Drosophila melanogaster: one gene and its partners. The protein of the gene in region 2 interacts with the protein of the main gene of each other region in a pairwise test. Each region holds a gene or a part of one and is shown on either strand. Other genes may lie near its edges. The genes, in order: CG42342, Rgl and Dcps.

The links.
Region 1: the proteins of Rgl (region 2) and CG42342 interact in a two-hybrid assay, tested with the Drosophila melanogaster proteins (one large-scale study listed by BioGRID).
Region 3: the proteins of Rgl (region 2) and Dcps interact in a two-hybrid assay, tested with the Drosophila melanogaster proteins (one large-scale study listed by BioGRID).

The regions. Positions count from the first base shown.
Region 1 is NT_033777.3:16,500,376-16,506,178, forward strand, and holds the start of CG42342 (uncharacterized protein), read left to right. Parts: upstream 1-2,394; 5' UTR 2,395-2,796; intron 2,797-5,803. Other genes in the region: Decay (death executioner caspase related to Apopain/Yama), read right to left, coding at 298-628.
Region 2 is NT_037436.4:13,916,752-13,922,582, reverse strand, and holds the start of Rgl (Ral guanine nucleotide dissociation stimulator-like), read left to right. Parts: upstream 1-2,617; 5' UTR 2,618-3,389; coding exon 3,390-3,392; intron 3,393-5,831.
Region 3 is NT_033777.3:5,751,971-5,756,289, forward strand, and holds Dcps (decapping enzyme, scavenger), read right to left. Parts: upstream 2,805-4,319; 5' UTR 2,708-2,804; coding exon 2,539-2,707; intron 2,478-2,538; coding exon 2,331-2,477; intron 2,270-2,330; coding exon 1,461-2,269; 3' UTR 1,348-1,460; downstream 1-1,347. Other genes in the region: Sec8 (secretory 8), read right to left, coding at 3,188-3,364, 3,433-3,639, 3,694-4,297.

The DNA of each region.
Region 1 (5,803 bases), on a different chromosome or scaffold from region 2:
AGATATACATATGTGTTTGAAATATGTCACCAGTTTCGATGGACACGATTGAGTGCAGCTAGATTTTGATGACTATCACATTGATTTTTAAGTTGCATATTAAATGTTTTCTCTTTTGTTTAACAAGGGAGTAAATATATTTTACTACTCGTAAAGAAAGACATTACCTCGTATTTACGGTGGAATACGAAAATAAACTTGATTCCGTTGGTAGATAACTTAACTTTGAGTACATATGTATGGTTCTGTGTTTTTGTCTGCCATTTGTTGCAACAATAGAACTCGTGGATAACTCACCCTCTTTGAGCGTGTCGTTGATCTCGGAGAAGGTCAGATCGTCGAAGGTGCGTACATCGAATCCGAATCCCTGCAGCGTCGCCTCCATGTCATCGCGATCCCGTTCGGTGCCCACGCGCTGCTTCTGTCCCTTGACATCCTTGTGGTTCAGGATTAGCGCAATGCCCGCTCGCGCGCAATTCTCGTATGTGTCCTCGTTGGTGGGGCGCGAGATTATGATCCTTTTGAGGTCCAGCTCCGATGTGGGCGTATGGGCGATCTTGGTGGCATCCGCCTTGTCCTTCTTGTGCTTGTTCTTCTGCCCGAAGAGCGAGAAGTCGGTGTCGTCCATTTCTGACCGTCCGCGCGCTTTGGCAGCAACCTGTGACTAAGCGCGATTGGAAGTTTTCACCTATCAAACGACAAAAAAAAGCTCTCGCTCCCGTTCGCCTAACATCTTATCTAATCAATGCAGCCGTCTTATCACCTTGAGCTTGCTGGGGTGGATTCTTCTCTCGCTCGCCGCGGTATTTTTCGGGCTCTTGCCCAACGTTGATTAGCCTGCTCGAGGGGAAGTTACGTTTATTGGTAGCAAAATACAATTCCCTTTGCCATTGCACCAGACAATTTGATTTCCCCGACGGGTTCACGCCCACAAAAGTGGGCGCTCGTCAGGGAAATTGGCAACTTCCGGCGAAAGTGTCGCTGCTACTGGGGATTTCTTAATGTGTTTTCAATAAAATTCAGATGCGCAAAAAAGCGGCAATGGGCGGCAAACTTTGCCACGCAATTCAAAATTTCACGCACACAAAGTAACGGAAACCGGAAATGAGTATGGCGTCCTTAAGTCGAAGGAGTACCGTTATAAAGTGTACCGCAGACTGAGAGAAAGTTCTATACGATTTAGTAATTTATTGTGTAATATTCGAACAGTTAGCTACGGGCATTTTAATGTGATATAAAAACAATATGTCAAAGTTAAGTTAGTTTCAATTTCACTTTAAATTACAACAATATAAAGAAATCTTTTATTGCGGTGCAGCCAAAAAATGTACCTCAGCGCTTAAGAGAGAGAAACATAAGAGAGAGCTGGAAACTTGTGGCGCATAACAACAATTGCGGCTAATTAATAAAGCTGCTCCTACGACCCTGATTGGATGCCAATTATAATTGATATGTAATTACAATTAGCGACATCAATATTTCTGTCAGCTGAAGAGCCAAAAAAAGAAAATGAAGAACAGTGGGTGGGGGAGCAGGAAAGTTGTTTAGCCGGCTTTTCAGAACCAGAACAATCGCCTTTGATTCTCGAGGTGCCTTCCACCGAAAGCAGATGTTGCCCCTCCAGTGACCTGAAATCTGCTCTTATCTTGCAGCTCCAAAAGGTGAAGAGAAAGGAGAGATTTATTGGGGCGGGATTCCGAAAATGCACTTGCTGCTGAATGCTCAAAATGAAATGATTTATCTGACGCACTTTTATGGAATAACAATGCAAAGTTTCACCTGAAATTTATGCATTCCCGTTTCTTATCTTTTTAAATTGTAGGTTCCCGGGGATGTAAATATGTATGTACATACATACATACATTGAAATTTGACACCTAAAGTTTTTTTAATACCTTTGTTATTAACTACATTAAAACAGTTTAATTTACAGAAATAATGTAGTAAACTTATTACATAGGTATATTGAAATCAATCAATTTATTTACAAAACTCGCAATTAGTGCTTCTGCTTATATTTGTAGTAATTAAGTAATTTAAACACTATAACTACGTAATTCTGAGGTCATTTCTGTAAGTGCAGTATACTTACTCCCACCGGTTGATCGTGTTTTTTTGCTGCTTTCTCCGTCTTTCTTCTTTTTTTACCTTACAACAATAATTATTTGTAACAAATTTAGTTGTTTTTTTCAAGAAATGACAAATTACTTTTACTATTTTAATAAATTGCTGCCAATGAATTTCCAATTAGACATATAACATATATAAACAGTTCCTTAAACTCTTAGCCCACTCTTTTAGTTGGCTCTCTTAAGTTCGATACGAACTCGAACTTGCTCGCTTCGAACATGAACCCGCTCGAGCTGAAACCGAATTCAAAACCAAAACAGCGACGCCAAAAGCGTTGTATATGTTGCCCAGTGCGGACGTGTTTACGTGTCGGACAAAAATTCGGGAAATCGGTAAAATTCGCATTTCTGAGGGTCTCGGGCTCCTATCCTCCGGGCGTGTGTTCTTCCCCCGCAACCTTTCCGTTGTCCTTTACATAAGGATAAGCGGGCGATAGAAGAAAATAGAAAGAAGGAGCCAGAATGTTTTGAGCAACAAAAACAACTTCAGTGTTGAATGTGTGCCAAGTGCAAGGAGTTGTAATTTATAGTTGCCGAAATTAAATTATGTTAAGTGCCCCACCAAATCAGTAAGAAGGTGCAGTGAAAAGGAAGCGGCACGAAACAGCAAGCGTGGAAAAGGCGAACATAAAGAGTTAGCGGAGCGCAAAAAGTGGAAAAAAGTATGGTACGTAGAAGGTGAACCAAACAAACTGTTTGATTATAATAAGCGGGGTGCATTAAATCTCATTTAAGACGTGTGCGTGCGCTTTGTATGCAAAAAGGTTGACAAACAAAAAACAACAACAAATTAGGGTGGCTGGTCCGGAGGACAAAAGAAACAAAAACCTTTTTTTTCGGGGCTGCTTCCAAAAGCAAACCACACACACACACGTACATATGTACGTACATGCAGAGAGGGAAAACATAGCCACACTGCGAAATGAAAACGAAATCAAATCAAAAGCAGAAAACCAACAGGCCGCCGAAAGGAACAAAAACACGAAAAAAAATGCTCGGCTAGCTTTTAGGCGAATGCCCTCGCAAAGCGCATAAAAAATAGATTAACAGGCTTGGCAGAAACAAAATAGAACTAAGAAAAAAAACATTGAAATTCTGACGTCGTCACAGGCTAAGCCTCTGCAGCCAAAAAAATAACAGCAGCATAAAAAACCATAACAACAAGTTGGGATGCCAAAAGTTGGGTGCTACGGTTATTGGAATACCGGGTACTTGGATTTCATTAGGCTCTGTGTCAAAAAAAAAACTTTGGGTATTTGGGTGCCATAATATTCAATTAAGTTTTTTAAGTGGATTCCTATGCACCTGTTTGCTGATCTCTTGGATAAAATACCTTTAAAAGGTGTATATGAAATGAAACTTTATTATGAATTTCTATGCAATTTCTATGTTAGCTAATTAAGACTTCTACTTAGGAGTTCTGCGAGTTGTTAACGTGAAACTCGATAACTTAAGACTTAAGCAAGATACAGTCACCAATTGGATTAGCTTATATGTGATAATAACGTGATGTATAAACATCTTCGATAGGTATTCTTCTTTACCGATTTATCTTTGCCCATGTATATAGACTGAAATCCAAGGTATACCGACATTAAGTTGGCAACCAACCAGCTGGCAAGGTAAAAGGCGGCGAAGATTTGTGGCTTCTTTTTTTTGCGCCCCTGCAAATGAAGTTGCAGTGGACATCTAATGAACCCGCAGCTGAATGCGACGCAGGCCCTTAAATTGCGAGCACACCTGAAATATTCAAGATACTTTATGGGAATGCCGCTGGTGGGCCAGAGGCACGCCAGTCATGCCGCACGATGCTCCAGCTGCCCCATCCTCCAAAGTGGAGGTGTAAATTCTGTAGCAGAAACATTCATTTATGAGCGGGCTAAGGTTGCGCTTTTGGCTGCTTATCCCTCGACCCTTTTCCAGTCGGGGCATTCATTCCCCTGGGGCACCTTTTGGCCAAAATCCCTGGAGGGGTGCTCTTACCCGGTTTTATGAACTTCAGCTGAGCAATTATTAAATATGCAAGCTTTTGTAGCTTTAAGATAAGATTGGGTGGCATTTGATGGGTGACTTCTCCTTATTTTTCGGCGAGCCCTTTGATGTTCTTACTTTTCGTCTTCTGTTGAGGGAGGGTGGGTGGCGAAAAATGCGGGAGACAGGCAAACACAAACATTAATTGTAACTGTAAATGGTGTGAAATGAGCGAGTGAGTGAATGGCTGAATGACGACATGAATGGATGCTTAGGAGCGGCTTGAACGAATGAATGAATGACTCTCGAGTGGAGCTGCCAGTGGCAGCAGTGATGCTCTCGCCTCTTTTCAGCACTGAAAATTGCGTTAAGTGGTTGTCATCGTTGGCCAGCGACAATTTTGATGAACTCAACAAAAACACTTGACAGCAGAGCCGAAGATTTTGGAACTGGGGACCAGGCCATGCAATAAACGAAATTATGACGCTAAATTGAACACTAAACGCCCAGTGAGCCGGGGCGAGAGATATATAGTAGAATCAAAGAATAGTCCAGGAAAATACATCAGTAGTTTGGGGGGCGAAAAGGGGTTGGACTGGACTGGAATGGCAACGGGATGGGGCATTCACTTTCAAAAGCATCAGCAGCAGCATCCACTCCGCTTCGAACCGTCCACATTTAACGCGCGAATGAACAGCAATCAGCCGAAATGGGGGATTCGTCGAAAAAAGGGGGCGGGTGAAGGGACTGGTGGGCATGGCTCTGGACCTGGACCGACCGGGAATCGGATGGGCACTCGGACTATTGCTAGCGTGCCAGCCGCCAGTCCGGAGGGTTCATTCAACAATAAAAGTCATGATAGACATGGCAATACGGAAATGCTATTTTTGGGGCTGCCACTGCCTTCACACGGGAATGGTCCACGTCCGCCCTGCGAGCGGAAGGTGAGAATTAAGAAATTAGCGTACACCCAGTATCCACTATCCAGTACCCTCTAACCATTACCCATTACCCATTACCCAGTCGGATGCCCCATTCCCCATCCCCCATCCAGGCATCGAGTGGCGAGTTGGAGCTGCCGGCTGGGAGCCGATGGAGCTGTTCGTAAATTGCCCGCCGCCGCTCACTTTAACTTAATTATATAATTTGTGAGACATCAGCGCTAAAAAAGGGAGACAGGCAGACCAACCAAAAAGGAAACATGACAAAGTTTGTTAGATTCGAAACACTGAAGTTGATATGCCCTTAAAAATGTATATGTTTGTTGTTCAAAATTTAAAACTAGAGAATTTATTGGGTAGAAAGGTTCTTTCAATTATACTGTTTAAAATGTATAAATAACTTGCACGAAAAACTATAGGAAAGTAGCTTATAAACACCTATACTATTTCATTTAGAGATCTATAGATAGATGCAATATTTTATGCATGTTTTGTTTATTTAGTTATTCCATATTTATCATAATTTTCTTACATCTTTAATGCTTCTATTCGGCAGCATATTCATTTATACCGGTTTGGAAATTAGTTCAGGGTAACGATAAATATCGTCTTCATAAGATGAGATGTTCAAATTATTGTTCATGCAAGTAGTCAAACATTTAATCTGTCCAAATATGAAATAATACCTGGAAAATCGGGTTTTGAAATGAGCACAACCTCATTGAAAAGGGATAACTAATTTAGTCATTATTCTAATATTCC
Region 2 (5,831 bases):
TAGCAGAACTTCATGAGGAGCACATTTGACATGAGTAATTATTTTTCGTAATAGATTTTTAAAGTTCATTATAGTGTTTTTTTTTGTTTTTCGCTTAGTATTATAAAATTCATAAATTTGTTGGGCCTTAAATCACCATATTTGAACGCAGCCATACAATACGGAAAATTAGATTTTTCCGAAACACTCGAAACCCGTCCCACTGTAGCTCCGTAGCGAATATCGTAAATCAGTTGCGCGCCACGTTCAAACCGCATTCATATTATTCCAGTGACTTTGCGGGTTAGTTGTTGCTGGGCGTTCGATGGCGCTTGGTCTCCGCGGTCTTGGCTTCTAAGCCTCTGGAATGCCAACAATGTGTGCGCGTTCGGTTGTGGTTCATTTTTTATAACTTCGTATATTTTTTTCAACTTTTATTGACCGTTTCATTTACGGGCTACTGCTACTGTCGCACTTTCCATTGAGTTGAAATGGTTTTCACCCGAATGCTTTGTCGCTTTCTTGCAGTTTGGTAACGAAATGGAAAAGAAAACTTGAAATTTGTGTCGATCCGATTGCAAGTTTGGTCGCGTATCTTGCAGATACATCCGCTTGGCCGAGTGAATTGCACAACCCAAATGAAAATAAATAAGTAAACGCGTTACACGTGTCCGCCCAAAGAGTGTGTGCTTTCGAGTCATTGTTCGTCGTTAGCTGTGCCAAGCCAAAATGCGCGTATCCGACAGATACCAGTCATCATCACAATTATCATCAGCATCTACAACACCACCATCGGAAATTGCATCGCACCAGATTTTGAGCAGCACGCACCTTGAAGTAATTGCAGCATCTGGCCATCGTCAACGCTGCAGACTATAATGAGTCAAAATGTGGCCGACAGTTTGGTGAGTAGCTAAACCATTATCTTGTTCATGTACTCTAGTATATAGCAAGCGTAGAAAGTAACAGGGAAATGCATAGAAAGTCATTTTGAAAGTATCTCGCAGAGCACCGAACTTTGTGTGGAGGCTTTTTGCCCAGGTCTGCTAATTATTTGGTCAAATAGTCCGTAGACTAAGTTAATGAAAAATATGTTGCAACATTTTGATTAGAGTGGTGCCGAAAAATCGAATTAAAGAAATTTATAATTTATAATTTAATTTATAATTTTTGTGATATTTATTATCACGATCACAACACAAGAGCGGTTTTTTCGTATGACTAAAGTTTTGGAGCACAACATTTTTCATCTAAATATATATTATGACGTTTACGTTTTAAAATATTATTCTCCATACTTTCTGATAGGGAGAACAGCAATAATTTTAAATAAATTTACTATAGCTTTAAACCGTATTATTTTGACACCAACATCATGAAGCACATTGAGGGTCAATCTTTAATTGATCTCTTTTTCTAGCTTTATATAAAATTCGTTATCAGCATCACCAAGTGCATAACAAATATCAGTGCCTTTTTTTGTATTGAAACTTGTTGCATTCGCTAATTGATCAATTGACGTGCTCATGGTCTCGAATATTTATCCAATGTCTACAAGCAACAAACAAAACAGCAGGCATCGTTTGATTGGCGCTTACGTAAATGCACGTTTTATTAATATTTCTGCTTATTGATTTCCCCGCCAGCTTTCTTTAAATCGTTACCAAATACCAGACAACACTCAGGTATTCCCATTTCCATAATTATGTCATTCCAGTTCACATGTTTGAACGGTTGGTCAAATGATAGCCTAAAAAGCCAAACAAAACATGGAAGAAAATTATTTAAATTTCTTTGTTGGCATTAATCAAAAATTTGGAATAAAATCCTACAGGTTTAGGAGGCCCATAAATTCCATTGATAAATGTGAAGCTATAATGAAGACAAATGCTATTGTGGGGGTCAGTGTAAATATATACCAAAAAATACTAAAATTGACAGAGAGAGTTGAGAGAGAGTTCTGATTAGAAACAAACAAGCCAACAGTCAATTGCTCATCAGAAAAAACATAAACAGAGCGCGAATGGCCAGAGCAAGTAAGATTTTTATGTTTGTTCTGATACGACATATATATACCGTGTATTTATTTTAAGAAACTTATTTATTTATATTTAGCGTGTCAACAGTCACTAGGAAGAAGTTTTAAAGAAATTTGTTTAAATTGATTTAAAAGGCCAAGTTACCATAGTGCAAAAGAAATAAAATCAATTACCAATTCAATGGTAAATTGACAGTTTATCTGGAAAAAGTTCTATTTTAAGTTTATTGACTATAAATTGTGAGAATATGTAGGTGTTTTAAATTCGGAACCAATATTGGAATGCATTGTTAATGTTAACTGTGTTTTTGAACTTGTTCGATGCAACCAATATACCTTCACGCAAGGTGTAAAACCATAGTGGGTGTTTTGCTAGAAGTTCCCACGGTCGAAAACTTGAGTACCTGAGAAAAGCGAACGAGAGAGTGCAATTGAGAGAACGGGGATGCTACAGTTACATCCGTCGAGTAAGAACATCCCCCGAAAATGCTTGCGTTCTTAATGACAGAGAGTGGATCCCCGACAGAGAGAGCGTGTGGGAGAGAGTAAGCGAGAGTTGGATACAGACGATGGGGTTTCGGGCGGTCGTTTGTTCTAAGCGGGCAGAGTTCGTCTTCGACTGTTGTTGGCGGCGGTTGCGTCGCGTGTCTCTCTACCGAGAGCTTTGTGTGTGTGTCTCGCGCGCGTTTTACGCTCTGCGCCCCCTACGCTCCCCTTTTCCAAGTAGAGAAACCCCCGAATGTGAATTTTGTATAATGTTTTTGTAATAACATGGATATCTCATGTTGAGATTTTCAGCCAAGCGAATGAAAATGCAAGCGGTATCCCGAAAATTGCCGTTTACGTGTGTGCGAGTGCAGCATTAGCAAAAGGAAAAGAGATAAAAGTGAAAACAAATAAATAGTAGGGAAGACGTGCTAAAGCACGAGAGCAAAGAGGAGATTGCCAGGCAGACGCATAGACGTAGTGCAACGAACCCTTCTTCGCGGACCAAGGATTCACCACTTACCACTAACCGGAGAACAAATACCAATATTAACCCCCCCACCTCTACTGCTACTGGGTGTGTTTCTCTATGTCCCGTTGACTCATCGTTCCCAGGAAGCTGAACAACGGTATAGCGGCCAGAACACAGAAGCCCAGTACAAAAAAAGAGCAGCAGGAATATCGATTTTACTTGCCTTTTACTTATACAACACCCCCACCACCCATTGAACTGCACTTGGGTGTAAAAATAAAACACCAGAAGCCATTAAAGGAGACGTGTAAATTAAAGCGAACCGACGAGAAGAGGATAACGGATAGGAAAACCCAAGCAGTGCATCCGTGGAAATCTCAGCAACATTTCTCAAGGAACAAAAGCCAATCTCAAATGGTAAAAAAAAACAACGCAATCCATCAGGCCGGATTAGAAAGGAGCGCACTTTAGATCTATTGGTTCTTATCCTGCCCTTACAGTGGTCACTCGAACGTTGATACATTGAAATGTTTTTTTTTAACAATATATTTAAAACAAGTACATCATATTTCTGCAATAAGCAATACATCGGTAACAAACTCCTGATAAGATAAAAACATTAATGGCTTGAATTTTATTACTATTGACCCTCGCCCTTAAATCAACGACATGGATAATTATCGATAATGCGCACCTTTTTTTGTCCGAGAATTTTCAACCCTGAAAACTAGTTGCTGTGTACTTGATCTGGTTTTGTGTGGAGAGGGATTACTGTAGTGTCTTGGTGTCGATTCACAAGGAAATGTCAACAATGATTATGGGCAAAAATGCAATGGTATGGAAACTTTACGCCTAAGTGGAGTCCAGAAATAAAACACCTTCTTTTGGTGGGGAAGGAATAGGAATCGATAAAAGTCGGGAATTTTTTACAAGTTATAAATGAATCATATGGGAACTGCCAAGCTTGGAGAAGCTTTGTTTTGGGAGTTTCGAGAATTTATATGCTAATTAAAAAGCATTCAAAATTGGTATACTTATGCTTGGGAACAAATGGTGTAGGGTATTCTTAAGTGATGTATATAATTTGTTTCGCAGGTGAAAGATAACGAATTAAAGCTATGAATTTAAAGGTGAATCAGTTTGAGATCATTTCAGTTGCAGTCCCAGTTATATTTTCGTTTCTTTATCATCCATTTATGCGGAGTGCCCCTAGAAATCATTTATCAGCTCCCATTGTATGCAAAACAAAAGCTCCGCCCCCCACTTCCTTTACCCACTGGCGAATGATGGGGGAATGCATAAAAAAAATAATTTACGTGGGGAGCTATGCTCAGTGGCTCAAACTTTAGCTTAGGTTGATATGTTTTTGTATTGTTTGCACATCATCTCTGCTGCTGCCCAACGGATGTGGTTTGATAATAGCCGAAAGAGCGGGACAGCTGCTCTGCAGTAGAGACAGATACATATGTACATATACACGTTAAATAAAAGTTTTATTCGGATATGAATTATGGTTTTTGAAATTAAAAATTGCAACAGGATGTGGCATCGGTTGATATTCGTTATGTTGTAATATAGCGAAAAGGAGACATTAGGGATAGAATATCGAATGCCAAGTAATGCCTGTTCTATTATTTCTCATAAACACAAACGATGTAAAATCTTGATGGACCTGTGTTAGTAGGCCGATGCAATTAAATTTGATCATAATTCCCTTCATTTTTTTTTATGTGCACCGAGGGAGCAGCAAATGTTGTCAAGTTGACTGCGTCGGATGCAGTCGCATGTAACTGACAGTCAGTCAGAGTCATTTAGCCAGTCAGTCATTTAGTCAGTCAGTCATTCAGGGATGACAGAGGGAAGGGGGAGAGACTGGTGTTTAGTTTCAGTCGTTTTTTTCCCTTGGCGTTTTCAATTTTGTTTTGCGTTGTTTTTTTTTTGCCGCTGCTTCTGTTGCTGCAATTCACAAAACTCGTGCCAGGGGTCGTCGATTTAAAAATAGAGATTTGTGTCTACAATTGCGGTCAAAATAAATGCCTTTTCATTTTTCAAGACAAGCGAAATGTATTGCTTATTTCGGACACCTAATCTATTGCCGCCAAGAACTAGGAAATTCTCAAAGAACTGTTTTTACATCGATACAAATTGCAATACTTTTACCTATAAATCGAATATCTCAAACGGAATACTATTTTACTATCTCAGAGTCATGTTTCATCATTTAAATATTGATCCATTTCCTTAGATGTATTTTCACTTTTAATCTATCAATATTGTGACCTCAGCTGTATGGCTGTTTGTTGATAAATTCACCCCAAATGCAAATGCAGTACCATTTCGCTTTGATGTTGCGGTTCGACTCTCCTTTGTTTTGGTTTCTGGCTATTTTTGCGAAGATCTGTAATTGAGAGAAACCCCCCCTGGGCGGAAAAGCAGAAAACGCCACCCACACGCTTTTCTGGAGGAAAGGTCACCTGCTTTATATATAGACAGATGATGATGTGGGCCGACCAATCAGGCGCCCCCTCATACTTGGATGTTATTTCTTTATAATTGGGTGCCTTGTATACACAAACACGAATATGTTTGACAATTGCCCGTCGTCTGGCATTATAATACTATATTATTTCATTACTTAATGAGCTTTATTTCTGCCGCAGTTTTTTTTGCACGGGCTGGGTATTTTCTGATGAATCATTCGAACTCAAAAGGTAAAATATCAACCGTATGCAAATCGTCATTTCCTCGCCGAGTTGTGTTCTGTTTCATTCGGTCTCGTTTGGCATTCGCTGTAATAATAATCGTGAATGAAATGAGTGTATTTAGGTTCTGGGGCTTGGTACGAATCGAATGCAA
Region 3 (4,319 bases), on a different chromosome or scaffold from region 2:
ATCGAGTCAACCCCCCAACTCGTCCGTTCATTACAACAGGAGTTGACTACACTGGTGCGATTGAACTTCAAGCCGCGCGTGTACGAGGATCAACCACCTACAAAGGCTATGTAGCCATTTTTATATGCTTAGCAACCAAGGCGGTCCACTTGGAAGCCGTCACTGGACTTTCAACAGAGCACTTCCTGCAAGCATTTACGCGATTCACCGGACGTCGAGGACAAGTTCAACATATGTATAGTGATAACGGCACAAATTTTGTTGGCGCGAGTACATCGCTTAACCAGCCCATCACTTGCAAGGCAGCCCTAAACGAATCGACATGTCAACATGGGACAAGGTGGCATTTCACACCTCCATATTCTCCCAATTTTGGTGGCATCTGGGAGGCAAACGTGAAAGCAATGAAGCATCATCTTAAACGGATCGTCGGCAGCCACAAGCAGACGTATGAGGAGCTTACTACAGTTTTGATCAGGATTGAAGCATGTTTGAACTCACGTCCACTTTGCCCGCTAACCGCCGACCCTGACGATTTAGAAGTACTAACTCCAGCACATTTCTTAATTGGTGACGCACTACTGGCACCGCCACAAGGTCGGCCGAATAATAAGCCTTTGCGTGAACTATTTCTCGCACAACAACACATGACGCGACAATTCTGGTCTCAATGGTCTCGTGATTGGTTATCACACTTGCAAACTCGGCCAAAGTGGTGCCAAATCAAAGATAATCTTAACATCAACGACTTAGTCATTATAAAGGATGATAATCTACCACCAGCTAAATGGACTATAGGCCGAGTCGTCGAACTGCACCCTGGATCGGACTCGCTAGTCAGAGTGGTTACATTAAAGACGAAATCTGGCATTCAAAAGAGGTCAATCACAAAGCTTTGTCCACTTCCGATTTCAACATAATTATGATCAACACACGGATCAAGAATCACAAGGAGCCTTCATGCTGGACGACGCATTGGCGGGCGGCATGTACGGATTATGAGCGGAGTCACCCGGTGCTTCAGCTGTCTTAACAGCGGATTAACATTTTATATATCGATGCTAATTGAACTGAACTGTATTCTTTCTTTCGCTCTTGTAATTTTGCGGTCATAGCGATCAGACGTGATTTTTGTATATGAAAAAATAAATGAAGTTAAATAGTGTATATATGATTCTTATTTGCGAACCCCATTACAATGATGTCAAAGCAGTGAGGCATCACAACTATTCACGAGGTACTCAGAATTCAATCGTTTTCTCTTAAGCGACTGTTTTTAAATGTGTGAAACGAAAAGAAATATTCTGAATATTTTATAACAATTAATAATGTGTACTTCCAGCAAGTGCTCTCAAACGAAATTTTTGAAAATAACTTTATTTTGAATTGAATGATCATAAGTAGGATGTATTTTTGATAGGCAACATCTAGGGTTAGCTTTCTCATTAAGTAATACCAGTTTAGGCACACGCCTGAACAGCGGACTCGGCCTCCTTGGGCTCCGGCGAGCCCAACTTTATGCGCTTGCACTGCCTCTCCTCCGGCTCCTCATCGCTAAAGCCTTCCGGTGGAGCGACGTTCAAAGAGTCTGAGTCAGGGAGCTCCTTATCGTCGCTCGATACTGTCAGCGCTCTAATGGGTAGCTCCTGCTCATAGAGATCCAACAGCTTATTGCCTTCGTACAGGACAAACGGCAAGGTGGCTCGCTGATAGTAGTCCGGCATCAGCTCCAAGTTGTTGATCACCGTGTCCAGCATGTGGGACTTCTCGCACCATATGCCCGGTGCATCGTTCCGTACTGGATTGATGTGCACGTGGAGGTGATAGAAGGACGGCTGGTAATGAAAGTACATGCGCAGCTGATTGGGATTAATGCCGTATAGCTTGGCAATTGCGTCCTTCGACGCTTGGCGCACGTTGCGCAAAAGATCGAGATGACTTTCATTCAAGTCGCGCAGAGACTTGATGTCGCGCTTGTGGACAATTCCCAGCAGATAGAGGGTTTCCACATTGCGTCCGTCCCATTTGAGATCGGGCAGAAGGATAAAGCCAGTCTTTGGATCCCTGTCCTCGTACACGATACGTTCCGTCTCCTGCTTATGCTCGAGTATGTTGTAGACCCACTCGAGGGAGAATTGACTTGAGGTGAGATATGGAAGAGTTATTCTTTGGTAGAGATCAGGAGTCTCCCGGATGAGATACTTTTGAGATACTGAGTATTTCTCGATGTGCTTCTCGGTGGCGGGATAAATGACTGTGCTTTTCACACCTGCGAAATGAATGATAAAAATCTATGATTTATCAGTATGAATTATGAATCTAATATTTACTGCACAAATCCTGGGTCGGCACAACCTGAAAACTGCCGTAGATATTGTTGATAAACTCAGTGTCAACTTTCAGGTCCGCGGTAAAATAGCTAGGCTTCTTGGGAGACTCTTCTGATGACGCCGTGGCCACATCGCTTTCCCGGTACGCTGCGGTTAGTAAGGATTATACTGTAGCGAACATTAGTTGCTTTCATTTACGCTTTTATACCATTTTTCTCGAAAACAACAATGGCATCATCGGTTCCTAAATCCGGAAAAGTGCCAAGCAGGGATATACTTTTCCTAACGCTGTTGTTGGTTAGGATTCGCTTCAGTTGGAACTTGGATAAGTCGTACGACGGCGACTTTACCTCTGTGCTATCAACTGTTTCCGACATTTTTGTTAATAATAACAACAATAATAATAGCTAGAAAGATATATTTATTTTTATTTTCTTGCGGCTTTTCAGAGAGGCAGCGTGACCATGACTGGGCTGCACGAAAATTCCATACTCATTTCGTAAGTCCATTTAGCGAGCACTCAAACCCTGTTAAATAACATTGCTGAAACGGTTTAGCAACCGGTTGAGTTGAAAAAATGTTAAAATTAGATACACTAGATGCAGCAAATTAATACAGTCAAAACATCGTTGTTGAATTCTCATTTATTGTGTATAGGCCATTGAAGTACTGTTAATGATCTTTAGAATATGTATCTTTACAAACGGCTACAACACTAAGTGCTCGCCAATCATGTTCAGAACATTCGCAATTATTTTGAGCTTAACACTAACATACAATTTGCACTTACACCTGCAGCCGATGTAAACAAAAGTATGGATATTAAAATTGGTTTTACCCGCCGCCTGCCACGCTAACTACACAACTACTCCCTTCGAGGGCTTGGCGCCTAGTATGTCCGACAGCTTCTGCTGATAGGAAGCGAGGAGATTGGCGTCGGTTATGCCGAAGGACTTGCAGGACAACTGCAAGGCATTGAGCAGCTGCATTTCCGAGAACTGAGTGCCCCGCTCCAGCAACGCATTGAGTATTTCCTGTGGGTAAGTGCAAAGTGTTTCTAAGTAAAAAGGTGAATTACAAAACTTGGGCCAATCACTCTTACGTCTGGCTCCATGCAAAGCAGCTCATAGAAGTGTCTCGCCTGATCCAAAGCCACTTCCCTGGAGGCAGTTATGTTACTCAATGTTTGCTGCAGGGCAATCGCGTTCCTGCACATGCGCTGCACGGTTATTTGATCTATGTGCTCCAGATAATTGGAGGCCTGGATAAGAATGCGCGATGCCAAGTGCGCCAGACCCTCGAAAATGTACTAGAGAAGAATACGTTCGAGCAAAATGCAACTGGAGACGAATATTCAACTTACCCTGGTCTTCCTCGGATGTAGAGTGGCACTAAACGCCTCATCCATCTCAGACAGTCGTTTGGTCAGAACTTGCACCTGGCGGTCGGGCTCCAAGATATCATCCTTGGAGCCCACATAGCTGTTGGTCCTTACACTCGACTTCGAGCGCAGATAGTGGAAGCATTGAACGCGCACCTCCAGATGCAATACCAGCAGGCAGGTGTTCGCCAGCTCATCAAACTCCAAAGCCAGATTAGTCATCACTTTGATCGTCCCATCCTTCACAGCAATGTCGGCGCCGCACTCAGCTGGAACGGCGTTAAGTCCGTTTACCAACGGCCGGCGTAAGTCGTTGGCAAATTCCGACACTCGGCACGAAAACCACTCCATGCTCTCCTGCAGTATGGCCAGCTCCTTAAGCACACTGATCTCGACCAAAATCTCTTGTTGGGTGATCCCACCCTCGCCTAAATTACTGGTCAGCATTTCAGCCTCGCGGATGTTGCGCTGCTGAACCTGCAACGGGCTCTCCTCCTCCGACGGCTCAAAGCTTCCGCGATGCAGTTTTCGGTTGTGGCGCGACTTCTGACTGTAGGTCTTTAAATCAGTCCAGTTGGGAAGCGTTCTAAATAGTGAAGAAACTATAA